3 linked regions of the Saccharomyces cerevisiae S288C genome follow. The gene in region 1 interacts genetically with each later gene. Each region holds a gene or a part of one and is shown in the gene's direction. Other genes may lie near its edges.

The links. Genes that interact genetically often act in the same process or in processes that back each other up.
Region 2: mutations in CHS3 (region 1) and CLA4 together harm fitness more than expected from each alone (negative genetic interaction), as found in Saccharomyces cerevisiae (8 studies listed by BioGRID, with this or other methods).
Region 3: mutations in CHS3 (region 1) and FKS1 are lethal when combined (synthetic lethality), as found in Saccharomyces cerevisiae (7 studies listed by BioGRID, with this or other methods).

Annotation. Positions count from the first base shown.
Region 1 is NC_001134.8:282,926-290,476, reverse strand, and holds CHS3 (chitin synthase CHS3), read left to right. Parts: upstream 1-2,551; coding exon 2,552-6,049; downstream 6,050-7,551. Other genes in the region: putative thioredoxin peroxidase SCO2, read right to left, coding at 127-1,032; POA1 (ADP-ribose 1''-phosphate phosphatase), read right to left, coding at 6,206-6,739; FUR4 (uracil permease), read right to left, coding at 7,133-7,551. UniProt on the Saccharomyces cerevisiae protein: Polymerizes chitin, a structural polymer of the cell wall and septum, by transferring the sugar moiety of UDP-GlcNAc to the non-reducing end of the growing chitin polymer.
Region 2 is NC_001146.8:65,780-72,373, forward strand, and holds CLA4 (serine/threonine protein kinase CLA4), read left to right. Parts: upstream 1-3,135; coding exon 3,136-5,664; downstream 5,665-6,594. Other genes in the region: TOS6 (Tos6p), read left to right, coding at 1-273; non-canonical poly(A) polymerase TRF5, read left to right, coding at 738-2,666; MON2 (Mon2p), read right to left, coding at 5,894-6,594. UniProt on the Saccharomyces cerevisiae protein: Involved in budding and cytokinesis.
Region 3 is NC_001144.5:807,113-816,426, forward strand, and holds FKS1 (1,3-beta-D-glucan synthase), read left to right. Parts: upstream 1-2,884; coding exon 2,885-8,515; downstream 8,516-9,314. Other genes in the region: SPO77 (Spo77p), read left to right, coding at 273-1,706; YLR342W-A (uncharacterized protein), read left to right, coding at 8,698-8,871; GAS2 (1,3-beta-glucanosyltransferase), read left to right, coding at 8,982-9,314. UniProt on the Saccharomyces cerevisiae protein: Alternate catalytic subunit of the 1,3-beta-glucan synthase (GS) complex. Synthesizes 1,3-beta-glucan, a major structural component of the yeast cell wall. Involved in cell wall synthesis, maintenance and remodeling.

The DNA of each region.
Region 1 (7,551 bases):
AACTGACAAGCATAATCATTTGACTTTCATTTTTTTTACTATTTTTTTCTATTTACAATGTAACTGTTAAATTGAACGACCCATAAGTTCGGTATCCTAGCTGTGTCTTTTTCTTTTTTTTTTTGCTCAATTGAAGATAAAAGAGTACCATTTTTTTGACCTACGCTCCCGTTCTTCCTTTGGCACATACGCCTGAATTTGTTCACGAATCTTTTCGAGACCAGATTGCTCATCGTAGTTTCTTCCCAACGCATCGATAAACTGTCCTTCAGGGTCGATCAAATAGAAAAATATCGAATGGTCCACTAAGTAATCCTGGTTGGGCTTGACATCACGTGGAGTTGAAAAATATACCTTGTATTTTTTGCATACGCTTTTCACTTGGTCGTACGTACCGGTTAAACCAATGATAGCTGGGTGAAAATCGCTTAAGTACTCTTTCAAGACATCCGGTGTATCTCTTGCAGGATCACATGAGATAAACAATGGCTGTATCTTTATATGGTCTTTATCATCTAATTCAGAAATCCAATACGTTAATCTGTCAAGCTCTTCTGGACAAATGTCGGGGCAATGACTGAATCCAAAGTATAAAATGGAAAACTTACCCTTCAAATTCTCCTCAGTGAAAGGCTTACCATTAAAATCTGTTAAATTGAAAGGACCGCCAAGTGCTACTGAACCGTAAGCTCTGTTAGCATCTGCTTCCTTTTCAGTTTCTAGCAAGCGTCTTTTTCTTGATAAATAGGCATACGTCCCACCACTTAGCAACAATAGAGCAATGGTGGCCTTCCATCTGGAAAATTGAAAAAACCTGGTTCTAATAGGCTCTGGTTCATTGATTTCATCACCTAGTTGTAGCCTATCTAGTGGTTGTCTTGCACTTGGGCTTTCCTTGTTATCACTCCTCAAACAACATCCCGTTGAAAACCCTCTTCGATATGCGCCTCCATTATAAAAGAGTCCTTTTATTGAGACGTTCGCTTGTCTGAATAGGGAACGACAAGCATATTTTCTTGAACTATTCAACATTTTACTCTCGCTTCCCAAATTCCCCTTTCTATGGTGATATTATAAAAGATCCTGTAAGCTGCTGTTTTACGAAGGTATTGTAGACGATCCGTAGCCCTCTTTAGCAATTGTTTGACTACTATCGATGGGACTTCTCGAAATTCATACTTTGTTAGGTTTTCTTTTTTATCCCTAAAAAGAGCGAAAGGATCAAGCAGAAAATTAAAACAATAGGCTACATCATCGAAGTTTCAAAGACCGGCATATCCGTCCATTTTTGAAAACACCCCACCCAAAATTGTAACTATCGACAGATTCTATGATAGCTACCCCGGGATGAAGGGCAGTCTTCTATAACTTGGGGCGGCAAGCAAACCAACCGTCATAGTTAATAAACCACACGTTGGTTATTTAGATTTCTCGTCCTGCTTTTCTGTCGCCAATAGGGCAACCTTAGAAAAGGTTTGAGGATAGTGACTACATGCAATCAAGGTAAAAGCGTTATCGAATAAGTAACAAGCATTCCGTGCTAAATTGACGAGAATTGGCAAGATGCGTCAGCACTATTTGGAGCAAACACACCAACTGGATGTCTTAAAAGTCAATTCAACGACCAATTTATGTAACCAGCGTGACTAGGGCAACGAATTTACGTCTTTTTTCTAAACTGCATATGCTATGAAATTAAAGATATACTGCCTCTATAAAAACATTTATATTTTCCCTCCTTTGCAATGGAAATGAAAACGGCGGTAAAAAAATTCGTGAGAATAAAGAGACGAGTACAAAAGTTCAATTAAAAACGCCAGGAACTGTTCTTTATCTTATTCTCTCCGTACGCTGTGTCACAAAGCTCTTGTATTGTGTCTCGCTTTCTTTTTCCAGATCTATGAAACCAGAATCACACCGCAGCAGCGACGGCTGTACCGTATTTAAGAGAATCCGCATGGGAAAAGATTACAAATTACCCTAGACAAATTTATAGAAGCGGTGCTTGTGAGATTTACTCACATTCTAGGATTCGAGAACTAAGCATTGTAGTTCTTATTTACATCCTTGAACAAATACCTGCCTATCTCCGCACGTACTACGTAGCCACAAATGTATATATAATCGTGCGTTGTATTTGCGCCCTCACCCACATATTTGACATGTGCATGAGACTGGATATTTCTTGAAGCATATTCAATAGCGTCGATGGACAGTTAGCCCGCAGTTGTATTGCATTCAGCACCTGCATAGGTGACCCTCTTTGGCTGCCTATTTGGATAAAACGCGTTATTGGCGCTGGCGCAGACCTCGAAAAAAAAAATCAAAAATGAAAATAAGAGCATAAAAATAGAAATCAAAAATATTCTTTCCTGTGTTTCAGATTTACATTCAGTACCAACATTTCGACTTGTAGTAAATCCTGCTAGAAGAATCACATTGGTAGACGGTTATAAACGTTTACCGATTTGCAAAGTTCTCGAGTATTTTTGGTGTAGGTCCCATTTTCTTCAAAGGTCCTGTTTAGACTATCCGCAGGAAAGAAATTAGAATGACCGGCTTGAATGGAGATGATCCTGATGACTACTATCTGAACCTTAATCAAGATGAAGAGTCTCTACTTAGGTCAAGACACAGTGTCGGCTCAGGAGCACCTCATAGACAAGGCTCTTTAGTGCGGCCCGAAAGAAGCCGACTGAACAATCCTGATAATCCACATTTTTATTATGCGCAGAAAACGCAGGAGCAGATGAATCACCTGGATGTTTTACCATCAAGTACCGGTGTAAACCCAAATGCAACTCGTCGGAGTGGCTCCCTGCGCTCCAAAGGCTCAGTGAGAAGCAAATTTAGTGGCCGCGAAACGGATAGCTATCTTTTACAAGATATGAATACTACTGACAAGAAGGCTTCCGTTAAAATAAGTGATGAAGGTGTTGCGGAAGACGAATTTGATAAAGATGGTGATGTGGACAATTTCGAAGAAAGCTCCACGCAGCCCATAAATAAGTCTATCAAACCATTAAGAAAGGAAACGAATGATACATTGTCATTTTGGCAGATGTACTGTTATTTCATTACGTTTTGGGCACCTGCTCCAATTCTTGCTTTCTGCGGGATGCCAAAGAAGGAAAGACAAATGGCGTGGAGAGAAAAGGTTGCTTTAATTTCTGTCATCTTGTACATTGGTGCGATTGTGGCTTTCCTGACTTTTGGTTTCACTAAAACCGTTTGTAGTAGTTCGAAACTACGTTTGAAAAACAACGAAGTATCAACAGAATTTGTCGTAATTAACGGTAAGGCTTATGAATTGGATACTTCCTCGCGTTCCGGTATACAAGACGTTGAAGTAGATTCAGACACCCTTTATGGGCCCTGGTCAGATGCTGGTAAAGATGCTTCGTTCTTGTTTCAAAATGTGAATGGTAACTGTCATAACCTTATAACTCCAAAGAGTAATTCTTCCATTCCCCATGACGATGATAATAATTTAGCATGGTATTTTCCTTGTAAGTTAAAGAATCAAGATGGCTCTTCGAAGCCAAACTTCACAGTTGAAAATTACGCAGGATGGAACTGTCATACGTCTAAAGAAGATAGGGACGCATTTTACGGTTTAAAGTCGAAAGCTGATGTTTACTTCACTTGGGATGGTATAAAGAACTCTTCTAGAAACTTGATTGTTTATAATGGCGACGTTTTGGATTTAGATCTTCTTGATTGGTTGGAAAAGGATGACGTTGACTATCCCGTTGTATTCGATGACTTGAAGACTTCAAATTTACAAGGTTATGATCTTTCGTTGGTTTTGTCAAATGGGCATGAAAGAAAAATTGCGAGATGTTTGAGCGAAATTATTAAAGTTGGTGAAGTAGACTCCAAAACCGTCGGTTGTATTGCCTCTGATGTCGTTTTGTATGTTTCTCTGGTATTTATTCTTTCAGTGGTGATAATTAAATTCATAATTGCCTGCTACTTCCGTTGGACTGTAGCTAGGAAACAAGGTGCATATATCGTGGACAATAAAACAATGGATAAACACACAAACGATATCGAGGATTGGTCTAATAATATTCAAACAAAAGCTCCTCTAAAGGAAGTAGATCCTCATTTGAGGCCAAAGAAATACTCAAAAAAGTCGTTGGGACACAAGCGTGCTTCAACCTTTGACTTGCTGAAAAAACACAGCTCCAAAATGTTTCAATTTAACGAATCTGTGATAGATCTAGACACCTCCATGAGCAGTTCACTACAATCTTCTGGTTCATACAGAGGAATGACAACAATGACCACTCAAAATGCTTGGAAACTCTCGAATGAAAACAAAGCTGTACATTCCCGTAATCCATCTACTTTGTTGCCTACATCCTCGATGTTTTGGAATAAAGCGACTTCCTCTCCTGTACCAGGATCATCGCTGATTCAGAGTCTTGATTCGACGATTATACATCCCGATATCGTTCAACAACCACCACTGGATTTTATGCCATACGGGTTCCCATTGATTCATACTATCTGTTTTGTTACTTGTTATTCTGAGGATGAAGAGGGTTTAAGAACCACTTTAGACTCTCTTTCTACCACAGATTATCCAAATTCCCATAAACTACTGATGGTTGTTTGTGATGGTTTAATTAAGGGCTCGGGCAACGATAAGACTACTCCAGAGATAGCGTTAGGAATGATGGACGACTTTGTCACCCCACCTGATGAAGTTAAACCTTACTCCTATGTGGCAGTGGCATCAGGCTCTAAAAGACACAATATGGCCAAGATATATGCGGGTTTTTACAAATATGACGATTCTACAATTCCACCAGAAAATCAACAACGTGTCCCAATCATTACAATTGTGAAGTGCGGTACTCCTGCAGAGCAGGGGGCCGCCAAACCCGGTAACAGAGGTAAGCGTGATTCTCAAATTATTCTGATGTCCTTTTTAGAAAAAATAACATTTGATGAAAGAATGACTCAATTGGAATTTCAGCTTTTAAAAAATATTTGGCAGATTACGGGGCTAATGGCAGACTTCTACGAAACGGTACTTATGGTTGATGCTGATACTAAAGTCTTTCCCGATGCTTTAACTCATATGGTCGCTGAAATGGTTAAAGATCCTTTGATTATGGGTCTTTGTGGTGAGACCAAGATCGCTAATAAGGCACAATCTTGGGTAACTGCAATTCAAGTGTTTGAGTACTATATTTCGCATCATCAGGCTAAAGCTTTTGAATCTGTCTTCGGTTCGGTAACTTGTTTGCCGGGATGTTTCTCAATGTATCGTATAAAATCTCCTAAAGGTTCAGATGGTTATTGGGTACCTGTATTGGCAAATCCAGATATTGTTGAAAGATATTCGGATAATGTTACAAACACTTTGCATAAGAAGAACTTATTATTACTTGGTGAAGATAGATTTTTATCTTCATTAATGTTAAAGACTTTCCCTAAGAGAAAGCAAGTATTTGTTCCAAAAGCTGCTTGTAAAACTATTGCCCCTGATAAATTCAAAGTCTTACTTTCCCAGCGTCGAAGATGGATTAATTCTACGGTACATAACCTTTTTGAATTAGTTCTAATCAGAGACTTATGTGGCACTTTCTGTTTTTCCATGCAATTTGTGATTGGTATTGAATTGATTGGTACTATGGTACTGCCGTTAGCCATTTGCTTTACTATTTATGTCATTATTTTTGCCATTGTATCAAAACCTACACCCGTAATCACTTTAGTTTTACTGGCAATTATTCTTGGTCTGCCCGGCTTAATTGTTGTTATAACTGCTACGAGATGGTCGTACCTATGGTGGATGTGCGTATATATTTGTGCTTTGCCTATTTGGAATTTCGTACTACCTTCATATGCGTACTGGAAATTTGATGACTTCTCATGGGGTGATACGAGAACTATTGCGGGAGGTAATAAAAAGGCACAAGACGAGAATGAAGGTGAATTTGATCACTCAAAGATTAAAATGAGGACATGGAGGGAATTTGAAAGGGAAGATATTCTCAATCGGAAGGAGGAAAGTGACTCCTTCGTTGCATAGACAGTATGAAAATATTTTTACTGTGATACTTACAAGTTGATATATGGTTGTGTGTAACTTATTTATTTGAGAGGTATTTTAACACACCTTAGAACTAAAACTTAATAAATAAATATTTCTCTATCTTTAAAGGCACATATTACGTGGCTAAGGCAATTACAGCTGATATACTGTAAAACTCATGTCGCCACTAAATTCTTCTAACACGCGTTCTGTCTCTTTCCAAGGGACTCCGAATATGCCACTATTTATCTGTGGCATTTCCAATTTATATTCCCCTATTGGGTATTTGATGTGGCCGTTTAAATAGTCACCGATTGAATCTTCACTTGTTCGAGTTTTGTCTTTTGCTTCTCTAAAGGTCTTCAATTTATCTAAAGCAAGTTTTGTATAATTCAAAATACTTTGCTTTTCTCCATGACTTGAACCTCCAAATGATGATGTAAACAAGCAACAAATCAGCAGATCTGAGTTTTCGTAACTGGGAAGTAATATGCATTTGCCTAGTAAATTAGAACCATACTTTTCGCATACTTCAACGTAATCTTTCTCTGCTTTTGGGTAGCGCAAAGCAAGTTGATAAGCGATCCCACCACCCCACGAGCCATTGCAGTTGCAAGAATGGATGAGGATCCTAGCATATGACTTTGGTTTTAAGATGTTACCTTTGACATAAGTGATGTTCGACATACCTGTAACTTGATGCTATATTTATCTTGGAGAAGATACTAATAAACTCAAACTTTTCGTGTAGAAATCTGGGCTTCAAGTTCGCATAGCATAACGAATCGTAAAGTTATGCATATGGCATAATACAACAATTATCCATTTTTTCTCGTGTGTAAAAAGAGAAAGGAGAGAGGAAAGAACGCTAAGCCATAAAGCAAACAAAAAATCGAATGAAAGTGAGTGAATATATTAAAACCAGTGAAATTAATGCTCATTGAAGGCCAAATGCACAAAGTAAATGCTAAAGAGAACGTAAATAGAAGTAAGTAGTATAGATAAGGATTAATATCATTACACATGAAAATTTGAAAAATATTTCAGATTAATGCAGAAAGTGATGTAGATATGGAGAGCTTAAATGAAAGTCTTTTCGTGTTCGTGTTCGTAGACACTAATATTGTCATCTACCAGGTCATCCCTCTCAATTGTGTCTTTCCACTCTTCTTCAAAATCATCGACATTGGCCCATCTTTGGAACCAGCCCTTGTCCTTTATAATGTTGTTAACAGGGCACCCAGGTACAGGGAAGAAGTAACACAGAGCAGTATAAGAAGAAAAACTCAAGCCATATCCTACCCAGTAACTTAGGTAATATAGTTTCATAGCTCCATCAGAAACCTTTATAGCGGGAGCGCCCACCTCCGCGATGAAACCGGGCAAGCAAGGAGCCACCCCACATAGATATGCAGCCAAAGCTCTCCAATTGATACCAAACCTGTTTCCGTACATATAAAAAGAGCCCTTTTGATGGGAATATATGTGTGTTAGCTTGA
Region 2 (6,594 bases), on another chromosome or scaffold:
GCCGCATTTGCTTCCGCAGATTCCACCTCTGATGGTGTCACTTACGTAGATGTTACCACCACCCCACAAAGTACTACATCTATGGTCTCCACCGTGAAAACTACTTCCACTCCATACACTACAAGTACCATTGCCACTCTATCCACTAAATCTATCAGTAGCCAAGCTAACACCACCACCCATGAGATCAGCACATACGTCGGCGCTGCCGTTAAAGGCTCCGTTGCGGGTATGGGTGCCATCATGGGTGCTGCTGCCTTTGCTTTGTTATAAGTTGCATGGACAACTTAAACTAGGAAGGATATTCCGCTTCATTTCATTAATTTCACATTTTTTTATCTACATGATATGTATTTTCCCTCAGTTACCAGATTCGCTAGCTTCGAAGCAAGGACTCCTTGGTCATACTTAATAAAGGAACGTCTGCTTCATTCTCCTAAAGTTCCTTTCGATAAGGACGCAGAAGGCACCTTACTAGACCATTGTATAAACTCATAACTACATACTAATTCAACGATATGTTACATTTATTTTCTTGTGGTTACCCCCCGCAAATTTCCAGGCATCTCATCTCATCGCAGTTAAAAAAAAAAAAGTTGTAAAAAGGTAATAAAGCGATACTTGATGAAAGCAAACATCTGTAATAACAGTTCACAAGGTTAAGCTGGTTCGTTTCACTAGCGTATCATTTTTTATTTTTCAAATAAACAAACGAGGGCGGAGTTTATTGGGTCGTCATGACAAGGCTCAAAGCAAAATATTCACCTACAAAAGGTAAAAGAAAAGAAGATAAACATACAAAACGTATGCGTAAATCATCCTTCACAAGAACGCAAAAAATGCTTGAAGTATTTAACGATAATCGCTCGCATTTTAACAAGTACGAGAGCCTCGCTATCGACGTTGAAGACGATGACACTTTCGGAAACCTAGTCTTAATGGAAAATGATAAAAGTGATGTCGACATACCTGTAATAGAAGAAGTCACATCAAGTGAAGATGAACAAAGGGCAGAATCTAGCAAAAGAAACAATTCTCTCGAAGATAATCAAGATTTTATTGCTTTTTCGGACAGCTCTGAAGATGAAACAGAACAAATAAAGGAAGATGATGATGAAAGAAGCAGTTTTCTGTTGACCGATGAACATGAAGTTTCTAAGCTTACTTCACAGCAATCTCTGAACACTGAAAGCGCTTGCAATGTGGAGTATCCTTGGATAAGAAATCATTGTCATTCGAAACAAAGGAGAATAGCAGATTGGCTAACTTCAGAAATCAAAGATTTCGTTCATTATATCTCTCCAAGCAAGAACGAAATCAAGTGCAGAAATAGAACGATCGATAAACTACGCCGGGCGGTCAAGGAACTGTGGTCGGATGCAGATTTGCATGTGTTTGGTTCTTTTGCCACCGATTTATATTTGCCGGGTTCTGACATTGACTGTGTCGTAAACAGCCGGAATCGCGATAAAGAGGACAGAAATTACATTTATGAATTGGCGAGACATTTGAAAAACAAAGGGCTAGCTATAAGAATGGAGGTTATTGTTAAAACGCGAGTGCCTATTATCAAATTCATAGAGCCCCAATCACAGTTACATATCGACGTTTCATTTGAAAGAACGAACGGGTTAGAGGCTGCAAAACTCATCAGGGAATGGCTAAGAGACTCTCCAGGGTTACGTGAACTGGTACTGATAATAAAACAATTTTTGCATTCAAGACGATTGAACAATGTGCACACAGGAGGATTGGGAGGTTTCACAGTAATCTGTTTGGTTTATTCTTTTTTAAATATGCATCCGCGAATAAAATCAAACGATATCGACGTTCTAGATAACCTGGGTGTTCTACTGATTGACTTCTTCGAACTTTACGGAAAAAATTTTGGTTATGATGACGTTGCTATAAGCATATCTGATGGTTACGCCTCTTATATTCCTAAATCGTGTTGGAGAACTTTGGAACCTTCAAGGAGTAAATTCTCGCTAGCTATTCAAGATCCTGGTGATCCTAACAATAATATAAGCAGAGGCTCCTTTAATATGAAGGATATAAAAAAGGCCTTTGCTGGTGCCTTCGAACTGTTGGTCAATAAATGCTGGGAATTGAATTCTGCTACATTCAAAGACCGCGTTGGAAAAAGTATACTCGGAAACGTGATCAAATACCGTGGGCAAAAGAGAGATTTCAACGACGAAAGAGATTTAGTGCAGAATAAAGCCATCATTGAAAACGAGCGCTACCACAAGAGGCGCACGAGGATAGTTCAAGAAGATTTATTTATAAACGACACCGAAGACTTGCCAGTAGAGGAGATCTACAAACTTGACGAACCTGCAAAGAAGAAACAGAAGGCAAAAAAGGATAAGAGAGAAGGGGAAATCAAAAAGAGTGCCATTCCATCTCCACCTCCGGATTTTGGAGTGAGCAGAAGCAAATTGAAACGCAAAGTGAAAAAAACTGATCAGGGCTCTCTCCTACACCAAAACAACCTCAGCATAGATGACTTGATGGGACTTTCTGAGAATGATCAAGAATCCGATCAAGATCAAAAAGGAAGAGATACCCCTTCGGGACAAGATGAGAAATCACCACTGGAAACTAAGACAGTAGATGCTCAAACGAGAAGGGACTACTGGCTCTCTAAAGGCCAGGCTCTTTAACACAATATAGACTCTTATAGACTATTTACTATTTATACAAGAATACCACATCGATGTCCAAGTGAAACAATAAGCTAATGATATCAAACGCGTGGGTATTTTCCCTTTCCGGAAATATAGAGCCACCAAAAAAGGATAGTTTCCCGATATGGAAATTTTCTCGAGCCGGTAAGATGACGAAATTTTTCATCTCTGGCATGATAGAAACATAGTATGGAACGTGCAGGAGAGTCTGATTCGAGACACATAATTTGAAAGAACCTTCTAGCCTGAGCCTTGTACATGTATTAGCGTTGCCAGTTATTTGCTTCTGCTGCTAATAAGATCAAAACCTTAAGTCCTTTATTTCGATCGAACGTACTGCGCTACTGAAAACCATTGCATCTTTTGCTATCATTCATTCCTGGTGGTTTCTTTGGTGTAATAAATCGAACAGTGAAACTGAAACATAAAAGAAATAGTGCAAAATATGTCTCTTTCAGCTGCAGCGAATAAGATATCTGACAACGATTTCCAAAATATCGGACCGGCACCTAGACCTCCCAGTTCAAATAGCCAGGGCCGTACTTGCTATAATCAAACGCAACCTATAACCAAACTTATGAGTCAACTGGATTTAACATCAGCGTCCCATTTAGGTACAAGTACCTCCAAAAAAAAAAGCGGGTGGGTGTCCTACAAAGATGACGGTATACTTTCATTTATATGGCAAAAGAGATACCTGATGCTACACGATTCGTATGTAGCCCTTTACAAGAACGATAAACAAAATGACGATGCGATCTTGAAGATACCACTAACTAGTATTATAAGTGTAAGCAGGACACAGTTGAAACAATATTGTTTTGAGTTGGTGCGCTGCAGTGACCGAAATTCTGTATCATCAGGATCCTCGTCCTCTTTGAATGTATCATCAGACAGTAACTCCAAAAAATCAATATACATTGCTACAAAGACAGAAAGCGATTTGCATAGTTGGTTAGACGCCATTTTTGCTAAATGTCCATTATTAAGTGGTGTATCTTCTCCAACAAACTTCACACATAAAGTTCACGTTGGTTTTGATCCAGAAACAGGTAGTTTTGTTGGTATGCCCACCAACTGGGAAAAATTATTAAAGCACTCCAGAATTACAGGAGAAGATTGGAACAATAATTCTGCGGCTGTCATTCAAGTGTTGCAGTTTTATCAAGAGTATAATGGAGCCGGAAATCCCACAAATACTTTAGACAAGCCTCAAAGTGGTGAAACTTCCTCCTCTCAAAAATCGCTGCCAAACAGCTATAATGATAACAAACTCAGAAATAATTCAGTAAATTCAAAGTCATCTTCAGGCGTTTCTTCAAGTATGGTATCACAGAGGAAAACCTCACAACCACCAAATACCAAATCGCCTGTTTCTCTAGGAAGCGGCTCACTGCCACCAATAAATACAAAATTGCCCACTAGTCAGTCAAATATTCCAAGACACTTACAAAATGTTCCCAACCAACAATATCCTAAGATGAGAAACGGACACTCCCCAACCAATGGCCAATTTCCTAGGGGACCTATGCATCCAAACAATTCTCAACGATCTTTGCAGCAGCAGCAGCAGCAGCAGCAGCAACAAAAACAACAGCATCAACAATATCCATACCACCATCAAGGACCATCTCCATCTCCATCCCCATCTCCGTCTCCATTAAACCCTTATAGGCCACATCACAATATGATAAATCCTTATTCCAAACAACCTCAATCGCCATTAAGTTCACAGTCGACCCAAAACCAAGCAATTCCACGTTATGCACAAAACTCAAGTCCTACAGCCGCACACTTTCAACCTCAAAGAACAGCTCCAAAGCCACCAATATCAGCTCCAAGGGCGCCATACCCATCAAATCAAAATGCTACTAGTAACACACATGTACAGCCTGTTGCACCTAAGAATGACCAGTCAACCCCACAAACAATGAGGCAGGCCCCAAAGAGACCGGATGCAGATGTCGCACAACCGGGTGGTGTGGCCAAACCGAAGAAGCCAGCAAGGCCTACCATGTCAACTGCAGAAATAATGAGTAAGCTGAAGAAAGTCACCGTAAATGCGGATCCATCTCAATGCTTTAAAGTGATCGAGAAGGCCGGTCAAGGTGCAAGTGGGTCCGTCTACCTTGCAGAGAGGACGCATATTCCGACAGAAAGTAATATGATCGAACTCATAAACAATGATATTGATGAGCCGCACGTAGGAGATAAAGTTGCTATCAAGCAAATGGTCTTATCTAAACAACCTCGTAAAGAACTCATAGTGAATGAAATTTTGGTTATGAAGGATTCACGTCATAAAAATATCGTCAATTTTCTCGAGGCTTATTTGAGAACAGACGATGACCTATGGGTTGTGATGGAGTTTATGGAAGGAGGTTCACTAACAGACATTATCGAGAATAGTCCCACCAACGATAATTCACATTCACCACTAACAGAACCCCAAATTGCATATATCGTACGAGAAACTTGCCAAGGCTTGAAATTTCTACACGACAAGCATATCATTCATAGGGATATTAAATCAGATAATGTCTTGCTGGACACTAGAGCTAGGGTGAAAATTACCGATTTTGGGTTTTGCGCCAGATTAACTGATAAAAGAAGCAAAAGAGCCACTATGGTTGGGACACCTTACTGGATGGCACCTGAAGTTGTCAAACAACGTGAATACGATGAAAAGATTGACGTATGGTCTTTGGGTATCATGACCATTGAAATGCTGGAGGGTGAACCACCATATTTAAATGAAGATCCACTAAAGGCGTTGTACTTAATTGCAACTAATGGTACACCAAAGCTCAAGCATCCAGAAAGTTTGTCTTTAGAAATTAAACGCTTTCTAAGCGTTTGCCTTTGCGTAGATGTTAGATATAGGGCATCAACCGAAGAGCTTTTACACCACGGTTTTTTCAATATGGCATGTGATCCAAAGGATTTGACATCACTGTTGGAGTGGAAGGAATGAAGCACACAACTATTTCTATAAGCATATCATACATACTACAATCTTATGTATTTCTTTTCTTTTAGCTATGCATACCAATGGCATAATATATAAATACGTTCACCTTAAAAGTTTTTTTTTTAAAGTAAATAAAAAAAGACCTGCAACGATACAATAATCAATCCAATGTCGTTTAATATTACTATTTATCCTACGTGATTTTTAAAAATATTCGTCCATGCTTCAGCTTCTAGTCTAGTTTCGTAAATCCAAGTGATAATTCCAAAACTTTATCTTGGAGGCCATCCATTTTATGAGATACTGGGATGGTTCTTAAAATCAACGGACTTAATGTTTGTAGGTTTTCAACTCCAATTTGTTTGTTGCCAAGGGTCGAATTTTGATCTAGAACACCTCTTAAAATCACGCATAGCCCATTTAATAGAGTAGCTAGTTCTGTTTTACGCAATTTTGGTATTGGTGCTCGCCCAATCAAGTATTCATCTGAGATATATCTTCTAAGAGCAAGGGCAATTCTTGCAGAAAGATAAGGAGCAGTTAACTTTCTTAATTTCTCGTTTGTGTTCAACATAAAATTAACCAAATCTTGCAAGCACTCTAAAGAGCACTTATATTTTGTCTGAAAGCGAGGATTTGTGGTGGATCCAAATATACATGAAAAATCGAACGAAGATAGTTTTTGAGACAATTCAGAAAACGTACCACAGTCTTGCATCAAAGCATTTTCTAATTCATCGAATTCATATAAAAATGAACAATCCCAGACGGCATAAATGAAAGTGTCTAATTGCCTTTCATTGAAGAGATCAATGATTCTGTTTTCCAGCAATATCTCCCTATATTTGGAATACTCATTCAAATCGTCTATCTCGGTTAAATTATCGAGCTCTGGGTTGATTCTTTGTAATGTGACAACAATAACATTTATAA
Region 3 (9,314 bases), on another chromosome or scaffold:
ACGCTTGTCTCTGAACAAAGGTTTTTATCCTTTATATGCTTATTGAAATACTGAGAATACCAAAAGTTGTCTTTTTCTCTACTATCGCTTGATTCTTTCAAGACGTCGGATATAAGAAATGTCACAAAATCAAAAATAGCTGCGAGGAAATAATGAAGAAAAGTAAAAGACGAAACTACTGCTTCGATGAGAGGTGAGCAGAAGCTCCCATAAAAAAAAAAACCTATCTTGCAGTATTTCTATGTTCCTTAAGAGATCAATAGAAGTAGAATATGTTTCGAAGGGGAGATAATTCAAATTTTAACGTACAAAATAGCTTCTTTCTTCCTTTGGAATACGAATATACCGTAAAAGATAATGTACCTTCAAAAAAAAAGAGTAGTATAGGTTTTTTTCCATTAGATGATTCTTTATTCACATCAAAAAACAATTCAGGGCACCATAAAAGCGAACAGCTCCATCGCGGTAATGCAGAAACTATCAGAAGCCAGTTTGGAACTGACGCAGTTCCGATAAGGATCGATGAGAAAGAAGGAAAGTGGGATAGAATTCAAGATGATAATTCTTCTAATTTAAACTACCAAATTAACAACAGTAATGACCCAGCTTCGAGTGGTAAATATACCCAGAGTATTGACTGTAACCATATAGCGGAGTCAAAATTTTCAAAAAAAAATGGAAACATTGATAGTCTTCGTTCAAACTCAGCAACTTTTATGCTAAATACTGCAGATGAAGACGTGATAGAATTTAGTTTTGACGATAATGTCCCTTATGCTGAGTTATTATCTGGTGCCACCCTTGAAAAATGTTCGTTGACTCTAAATGAAATAAACAAAAAACTATTCAATACGCTCTATGACTTTCGAGTAAGCAAAGATAATCCCGAAGAAAATTTGGTAGAACTAATACTTCCGAACTGCGTGGTGTTATTAAACTTTTTTGAAGACATTGAACTCTTGGCCGACTCTTCTGATGAGGCTTTCGAAAAATCTACTTTCATTAACACAATTGAGTTCATTGTGCACGATATTTGGGTCGAAACGTTGATAAAGAACATAAACTTATTACAAATGTTTGATGCAGATTTGAAATGCTACAATGACAAGTACATAATTTGCAAGCTAAAGGGTCAGTATCCCTCCACAAATATAGTGGACATAATGTGCCGTTTGAAGCATTTTTCCAATTCTATTTTGGAAACTTTCAAATTCGGAATCGAGCTAAAAGAACAAGATCAATGCCACAATAGAAACACTATTATCAACTACGTTCTTTTCAGTAGAGTATTTTCAACGATTGTTTTAGAGATTCAAAAATGCTTTATCTTGATCGTTAAGTTCATGTATTCTGTCAATTTTTTAGAAAAATTTTCCGATGAAGTATTTTTGTCATTTATTGAAATTCTCATAAAAATTGTCTTTGAGCACCAGATTCCGCAGTTATTTTTGGGAATTGATGAAATTATTCAACTCTGGTTAAAGAACAATGAAGGAAAACGGCAACAACTCTTGAGCGCTTGGTGCAACGGAACTGTTCAAGATATGAAGCAAAGCCAACAAAGAGAGTCCTCAAACGCAGAATCTGAATCAATCACTTCAAGTACAGAAGAGGACGAAGAAGGCCTCCAATTCAATAAATGGGATGTGATTGAACCATTTATTGATAATATCAAGGCTTTGAATCAATCAAAATCCCATATGTGACGCAGCGATAAAACCGCGGCATGCAAACATCTACACAATTAGCAAGGGCAATCCATATTTTGTCTTTTCGCGCCCTGGAAAGGCCTAAGTAATGTCGTAAACGCATTCTATCTGTACTTCAACTCTCCTCTGTGCATTGGTTTGTGCAAATCACATTTTACGATACTGCCAGATTTATGCAAAAAGAGAAAACCAAGGGACCAGAACAAAGCAAAATTACGATAAACTTCGAATTCCTTCGTGCTTGACTAAGACAAAGGGATGGACGTAGCGATTTTTAGCGGGCCAAGAACTGGTTCCGAAAAAGCACAGGTACACCGAACCCTCAGCTAAGGAGGGACAGCACCGATGCGGAAGGACAAACTTTCTTTTTGCCTATCACAGTATCTTATCGAGCTAACTATTTTCGACACACATGAAAAAGCAGAAATATTAACGAAAAAGAAAAGAAAGACCATGTCATGTACGGGCAATCAGAATCTGTAACAAGCGCCATTTTTTTTTCTGTATCGGGCCCTCCTTACTGCTCTCCTTCCGTGTAACGCGTTATGAAACTCTAATCCTACTATCGGCGACTCTCTCGAAATTTTTCTTAACGCGTCCTTGTACTGCGTCTAACGCTTTTGCCACTTGGATTTCTATTATAGGAAATAGTCTCACTTACTGGGCGACGAATTTTCGCGTTTTGATGAAGCACAGGAAGAATTTCTTTTTTTTTTGGCTTCTTCTGGTTCCGTTTTTTACGCGCACAAATCTAAAAAAAGAAATAATTATAACCTAGTCTCGAAAATTTTCATCGATCCATTCGTTCCTTTTTTTCGATTTTTTCAGATCAAAATTCTTGTTTCTTTCTTTGTCTTAGTTTATATTAAAAGATATTTTGATTTTACTCCTGAACTATTTATTCTTTCTAAGAAGGCCAGAACACTACAGCTGTTTTAACCGACTACGAAGTTCTCCATTCTCGAACACTAGCCTTCATTTACCAAACAGGAACTAGCGTATATCATTAGTCCTTATTCGAAAAGAGATTGGTAGATATTTATTGTAGTTTGTGAGAAGGAGAAAATACTGTCATTGGACTGATAGTTAGAGGACATTAACCTCTCTTACGTTCGCTCAAAAAAATTAAAATAAGCAAGTAGCTGAAATCAAGTCTTTCATACAACGGTCAGACCATGAACACTGATCAACAACCTTATCAGGGCCAAACGGACTATACCCAGGGACCAGGTAACGGGCAAAGTCAGGAACAAGACTATGACCAATATGGCCAGCCTTTGTATCCTTCACAAGCTGATGGTTACTACGATCCAAATGTCGCTGCTGGTACTGAAGCTGATATGTATGGTCAACAACCACCAAACGAGTCTTACGACCAAGACTACACAAACGGTGAATACTATGGTCAACCGCCAAATATGGCTGCTCAAGACGGTGAAAACTTCTCGGATTTTAGCAGTTACGGCCCTCCTGGAACACCTGGATATGATAGCTATGGTGGTCAGTATACCGCTTCTCAAATGAGTTATGGAGAACCAAATTCGTCGGGTACCTCGACTCCAATTTACGGTAATTATGACCCAAATGCTATCGCTATGGCTTTGCCAAATGAACCTTATCCCGCTTGGACTGCTGACTCTCAATCTCCCGTTTCGATCGAGCAAATCGAAGATATCTTTATTGATTTGACCAACAGACTCGGGTTCCAAAGAGACTCCATGAGAAATATGTTTGATCATTTTATGGTTCTCTTGGACTCTAGGTCCTCGAGAATGTCTCCTGATCAAGCTTTACTATCTTTACATGCCGACTACATTGGTGGCGATACTGCTAACTATAAAAAATGGTATTTTGCTGCTCAGTTAGATATGGATGATGAAATTGGTTTTAGAAATATGAGTCTTGGAAAACTCTCAAGGAAGGCAAGAAAAGCTAAGAAGAAAAACAAGAAAGCAATGGAAGAGGCCAATCCCGAAGACACTGAAGAAACTTTAAACAAAATTGAAGGCGACAACTCCCTAGAGGCTGCTGATTTTAGATGGAAGGCCAAGATGAACCAGTTGTCTCCCCTGGAAAGAGTTCGTCATATCGCCTTATATCTGTTATGTTGGGGTGAAGCTAATCAAGTCAGATTCACTGCTGAATGTTTATGTTTTATCTACAAGTGTGCTCTTGACTACTTGGATTCCCCTCTTTGCCAACAACGCCAAGAACCTATGCCAGAAGGTGATTTCTTGAATAGAGTCATTACGCCAATTTATCATTTCATCAGAAATCAAGTTTATGAAATTGTTGATGGTCGTTTTGTCAAGCGTGAAAGAGATCATAACAAAATTGTCGGTTATGATGATTTAAACCAATTGTTCTGGTATCCAGAAGGTATTGCAAAGATTGTTCTTGAAGATGGAACAAAATTGATAGAACTCCCATTGGAAGAACGTTATTTAAGATTAGGCGATGTCGTCTGGGATGATGTATTCTTCAAAACATATAAAGAGACCCGTACTTGGTTACATTTGGTCACCAACTTCAACCGTATTTGGGTTATGCATATCTCCATTTTTTGGATGTACTTTGCATATAATTCACCAACATTTTACACTCATAACTATCAACAATTGGTCGACAACCAACCTTTGGCTGCTTACAAGTGGGCATCTTGCGCATTAGGTGGTACTGTCGCAAGTTTGATTCAAATTGTCGCTACTTTGTGTGAATGGTCATTCGTTCCAAGAAAATGGGCTGGTGCTCAACATCTATCTCGTAGATTCTGGTTTTTATGCATCATCTTTGGTATTAATTTGGGTCCTATTATTTTTGTTTTTGCTTACGACAAAGATACAGTCTACTCCACTGCTGCACACGTTGTTGCTGCTGTTATGTTCTTTGTTGCGGTTGCTACCATCATATTCTTCTCCATTATGCCATTGGGGGGGTTGTTTACGTCATATATGAAAAAATCTACAAGGCGTTATGTTGCATCTCAAACATTCACTGCTGCATTTGCCCCTCTACATGGGTTAGATAGATGGATGTCCTATTTAGTTTGGGTTACTGTTTTTGCTGCCAAATATTCAGAATCGTACTACTTTTTAGTTTTATCTTTGAGAGATCCAATTAGAATTTTGTCCACCACTGCAATGAGGTGTACAGGTGAATACTGGTGGGGTGCGGTACTTTGTAAAGTGCAACCCAAGATTGTCTTAGGTTTGGTTATCGCTACCGACTTCATTCTTTTCTTCTTGGATACCTACTTATGGTACATTATTGTGAATACCATTTTCTCTGTTGGGAAATCTTTCTATTTAGGTATTTCTATCTTAACACCATGGAGAAATATCTTCACAAGATTGCCAAAAAGAATATACTCCAAGATTTTGGCTACTACTGATATGGAAATTAAATACAAACCAAAGGTTTTGATTTCTCAAGTATGGAATGCCATCATTATTTCAATGTACAGAGAACATCTCTTAGCCATCGACCATGTACAAAAATTACTATATCATCAAGTTCCATCTGAAATCGAAGGTAAAAGAACTTTGAGAGCTCCTACCTTCTTTGTTTCTCAAGATGACAATAATTTTGAGACTGAATTTTTCCCTAGGGATTCAGAGGCTGAGCGTCGTATTTCTTTCTTTGCTCAATCTTTGTCTACTCCAATTCCCGAACCACTTCCAGTTGATAACATGCCAACGTTCACAGTATTGACTCCTCACTACGCGGAAAGAATTCTGCTGTCATTAAGAGAAATTATTCGTGAAGATGACCAATTTTCTAGAGTTACTCTTTTAGAATATCTAAAACAATTACATCCCGTTGAATGGGAATGTTTTGTTAAGGATACTAAGATTTTGGCTGAAGAAACCGCTGCCTATGAAGGAAATGAAAATGAAGCTGAAAAGGAAGATGCTTTGAAATCTCAAATCGATGATTTGCCATTTTATTGTATTGGTTTTAAATCTGCTGCTCCAGAATATACACTTCGTACGAGAATTTGGGCTTCTTTGAGGTCGCAGACTCTATATCGTACCATTTCAGGGTTCATGAATTATTCAAGAGCTATCAAATTACTGTATCGTGTGGAAAATCCTGAAATTGTTCAAATGTTTGGTGGTAATGCTGAAGGCTTAGAAAGAGAGCTAGAAAAGATGGCAAGAAGAAAGTTTAAATTTTTGGTCTCTATGCAGAGATTGGCTAAATTCAAACCACATGAACTGGAAAATGCTGAGTTTTTGTTGAGAGCTTACCCAGACTTACAAATTGCCTACTTGGATGAAGAGCCACCTTTGACTGAAGGTGAGGAGCCAAGAATCTATTCCGCTTTGATTGATGGACATTGTGAAATTCTAGATAATGGTCGTAGACGTCCCAAGTTTAGAGTTCAATTATCTGGTAACCCAATTCTTGGTGACGGTAAATCTGATAACCAAAACCATGCTTTGATTTTTTACAGAGGTGAATACATTCAATTAATTGATGCCAACCAAGATAACTACTTGGAAGAATGTCTGAAGATTAGATCTGTATTGGCTGAATTTGAGGAATTGAACGTTGAACAAGTTAATCCATATGCTCCCGGTTTAAGGTATGAGGAGCAAACAACTAATCATCCTGTTGCTATTGTTGGTGCCAGAGAATACATTTTCTCTGAAAACTCTGGTGTGCTGGGTGATGTGGCCGCTGGTAAAGAACAAACTTTTGGTACATTATTTGCGCGTACTTTATCTCAAATTGGTGGTAAATTGCATTATGGTCATCCGGATTTCATTAATGCTACGTTTATGACCACTAGAGGTGGTGTTTCCAAAGCACAAAAGGGTTTGCATTTAAACGAAGATATTTATGCTGGTATGAATGCTATGCTTCGTGGTGGTCGTATCAAGCATTGTGAGTATTATCAATGTGGTAAAGGTAGAGATTTGGGTTTCGGTACAATTCTAAATTTCACTACTAAGATTGGTGCTGGTATGGGTGAACAAATGTTATCTCGTGAATATTATTATCTGGGTACCCAATTACCAGTGGACCGTTTCCTAACATTCTATTATGCCCATCCTGGTTTCCATTTGAACAACTTGTTCATTCAATTATCTTTGCAAATGTTTATGTTGACTTTGGTGAATTTATCTTCCTTGGCCCATGAATCTATTATGTGTATTTACGATAGGAACAAACCAAAAACAGATGTTTTGGTTCCAATTGGGTGTTACAACTTCCAACCTGCGGTTGATTGGGTGAGACGTTATACATTGTCTATTTTCATTGTTTTCTGGATTGCCTTCGTTCCTATTGTTGTTCAAGAACTAATTGAACGTGGTCTATGGAAAGCCACCCAAAGATTTTTCTGCCACCTATTATCATTATCCCCTATGTTCGAAGTGTTTGCGGGCCAAATCTACTCTTCTGCGTTATTAAGTGATTTAGCAATTGGTGGTGCTCGTTATATATCCACCGGTCGTGGTTTTGCAACTTCTCGTATACCATTTTCAATTTTGTATTCAAGATTTGCAGGATCTGCTATCTACATGGGTGCAAGATCAATGTTAATGTTGCTGTTCGGTACTGTCGCACATTGGCAAGCTCCACTACTGTGGTTTTGGGCCTCTCTATCTTCATTAATTTTTGCGCCTTTCGTTTTCAATCCACATCAGTTTGCTTGGGAAGATTTCTTTTTGGATTACAGGGATTATATCAGATGGTTATCAAGAGGTAATAATCAATATCATAGAAACTCGTGGATTGGTTACGTGAGGATGTCTAGGGCACGTATTACTGGGTTTAAACGTAAACTGGTTGGCGATGAATCTGAGAAAGCTGCTGGTGACGCAAGCAGGGCTCATAGAACCAATTTGATCATGGCTGAAATCATACCCTGTGCAATTTATGCAGCTGGTTGTTTTATTGCCTTCACGTTTATTAATGCTCAAACCGGTGTCAAGACTACTGATGATGATAGGGTGAATTCTGTTTTACGTATCATCATTTGTACCTTGGCGCCAATCGCCGTTAACCTCGGTGTTCTATTCTTCTGTATGGGTATGTCATGCTGCTCTGGTCCCTTATTTGGTATGTGTTGTAAGAAGACAGGTTCTGTAATGGCTGGAATTGCCCACGGTGTTGCTGTTATTGTCCACATTGCCTTTTTCATTGTCATGTGGGTTTTGGAGAGCTTCAACTTTGTTAGAATGTTAATCGGAGTCGTTACTTGTATCCAATGTCAAAGACTCATTTTTCATTGCATGACAGCGTTAATGTTGACTCGTGAATTTAAAAACGATCATGCCAATACAGCCTTCTGGACTGGTAAGTGGTATGGTAAAGGTATGGGTTACATGGCTTGGACCCAGCCAAGTAGAGAATTAACCGCCAAGGTAATTGAGCTTTCAGAATTTGCAGCTGATTTTGTTCTAGGTCATGTGATTTTAATCTGTCAACTGCCACTCATTATAATCCCAAAAATAGATAAATTCCACTCGATTATGCTATTCTGGCTAAAGCCCTCTCGTCAAATTCGTCCCCCAATTTACTCTCTGAAGCAAACTCGTTTGCGTAAGCGTATGGTCAAGAAGTACTGCTCTTTGTACTTTTTAGTATTGGCTATTTTTGCAGGATGCATTATTGGTCCTGCTGTAGCCTCTGCTAAGATCCACAAACACATTGGAGATTCATTGGATGGCGTTGTTCACAATCTATTCCAACCAATAAATACAACCAATAATGACACTGGTTCCCAAATGTCAACTTATCAAAGTCACTACTATACTCATACGCCATCATTAAAGACCTGGTCAACTATAAAATAATACAATCAATACTTGCTTGAACGCTTGATTTTACTGATATTCTATCCAAAAGCAAGTAGACCAGAAACTCTCAAGATGTTGCAAATACCGTTCGATGTTTTTGGTTTAGATTGTTTTAATGTTGATGCTTTTTTACTTATTTTTGGAAGCGTCTTTTTAATTTAGTTTTATATTATAGGTATATGAATGTGTTTATGCCAATAAGGGTTTTTTTGTACAGTTATGTGATTATAAACAGTCTTTTGTCTAGTTTTTTTCACCAGTATCGGCCTCTATTTATAAAAAACGGAGCAGCTTTCGGTGTCAGTAATTCTGAAAAAATTTGTGTCACTCTGATTGTAAATGAATTAATTTAGCTAGATAGTTGCGAGCCCCAACGAGAAGATTGTCAGACAAAGACAACATTCAACAACCTACATCCGTTACTATTCGTTAACTCGAGGTACTTGAAACTTTTCAGTTAAGTATGAACAAGAAACAAAATTTTTACGCAGCCATTATTGTGGCTATTTTTCTTTGTTTGCAATTGTCTCATGGCTCTTCAGGTGTCAGCTTTGAAAAAACCCCTGCTATTAAAATTGTAGGAAACAAATTCTTTGACTCTGAGAGTGGGGAACAGTTCTTCATCAAGGGCATTGCTTACCAATTGCAGAGAAGTGAAGAGGAGCTTAGCAATGCAAATGGGGCTTTTGAGACAAGTTATATTGATGCCTTAGCGGACCCAAAAATATGCTTAAGAGATATTCCATTTTTGAAAATGCTAGGAGTGAACACACTGCGTGTTTATGCAATAGATCCG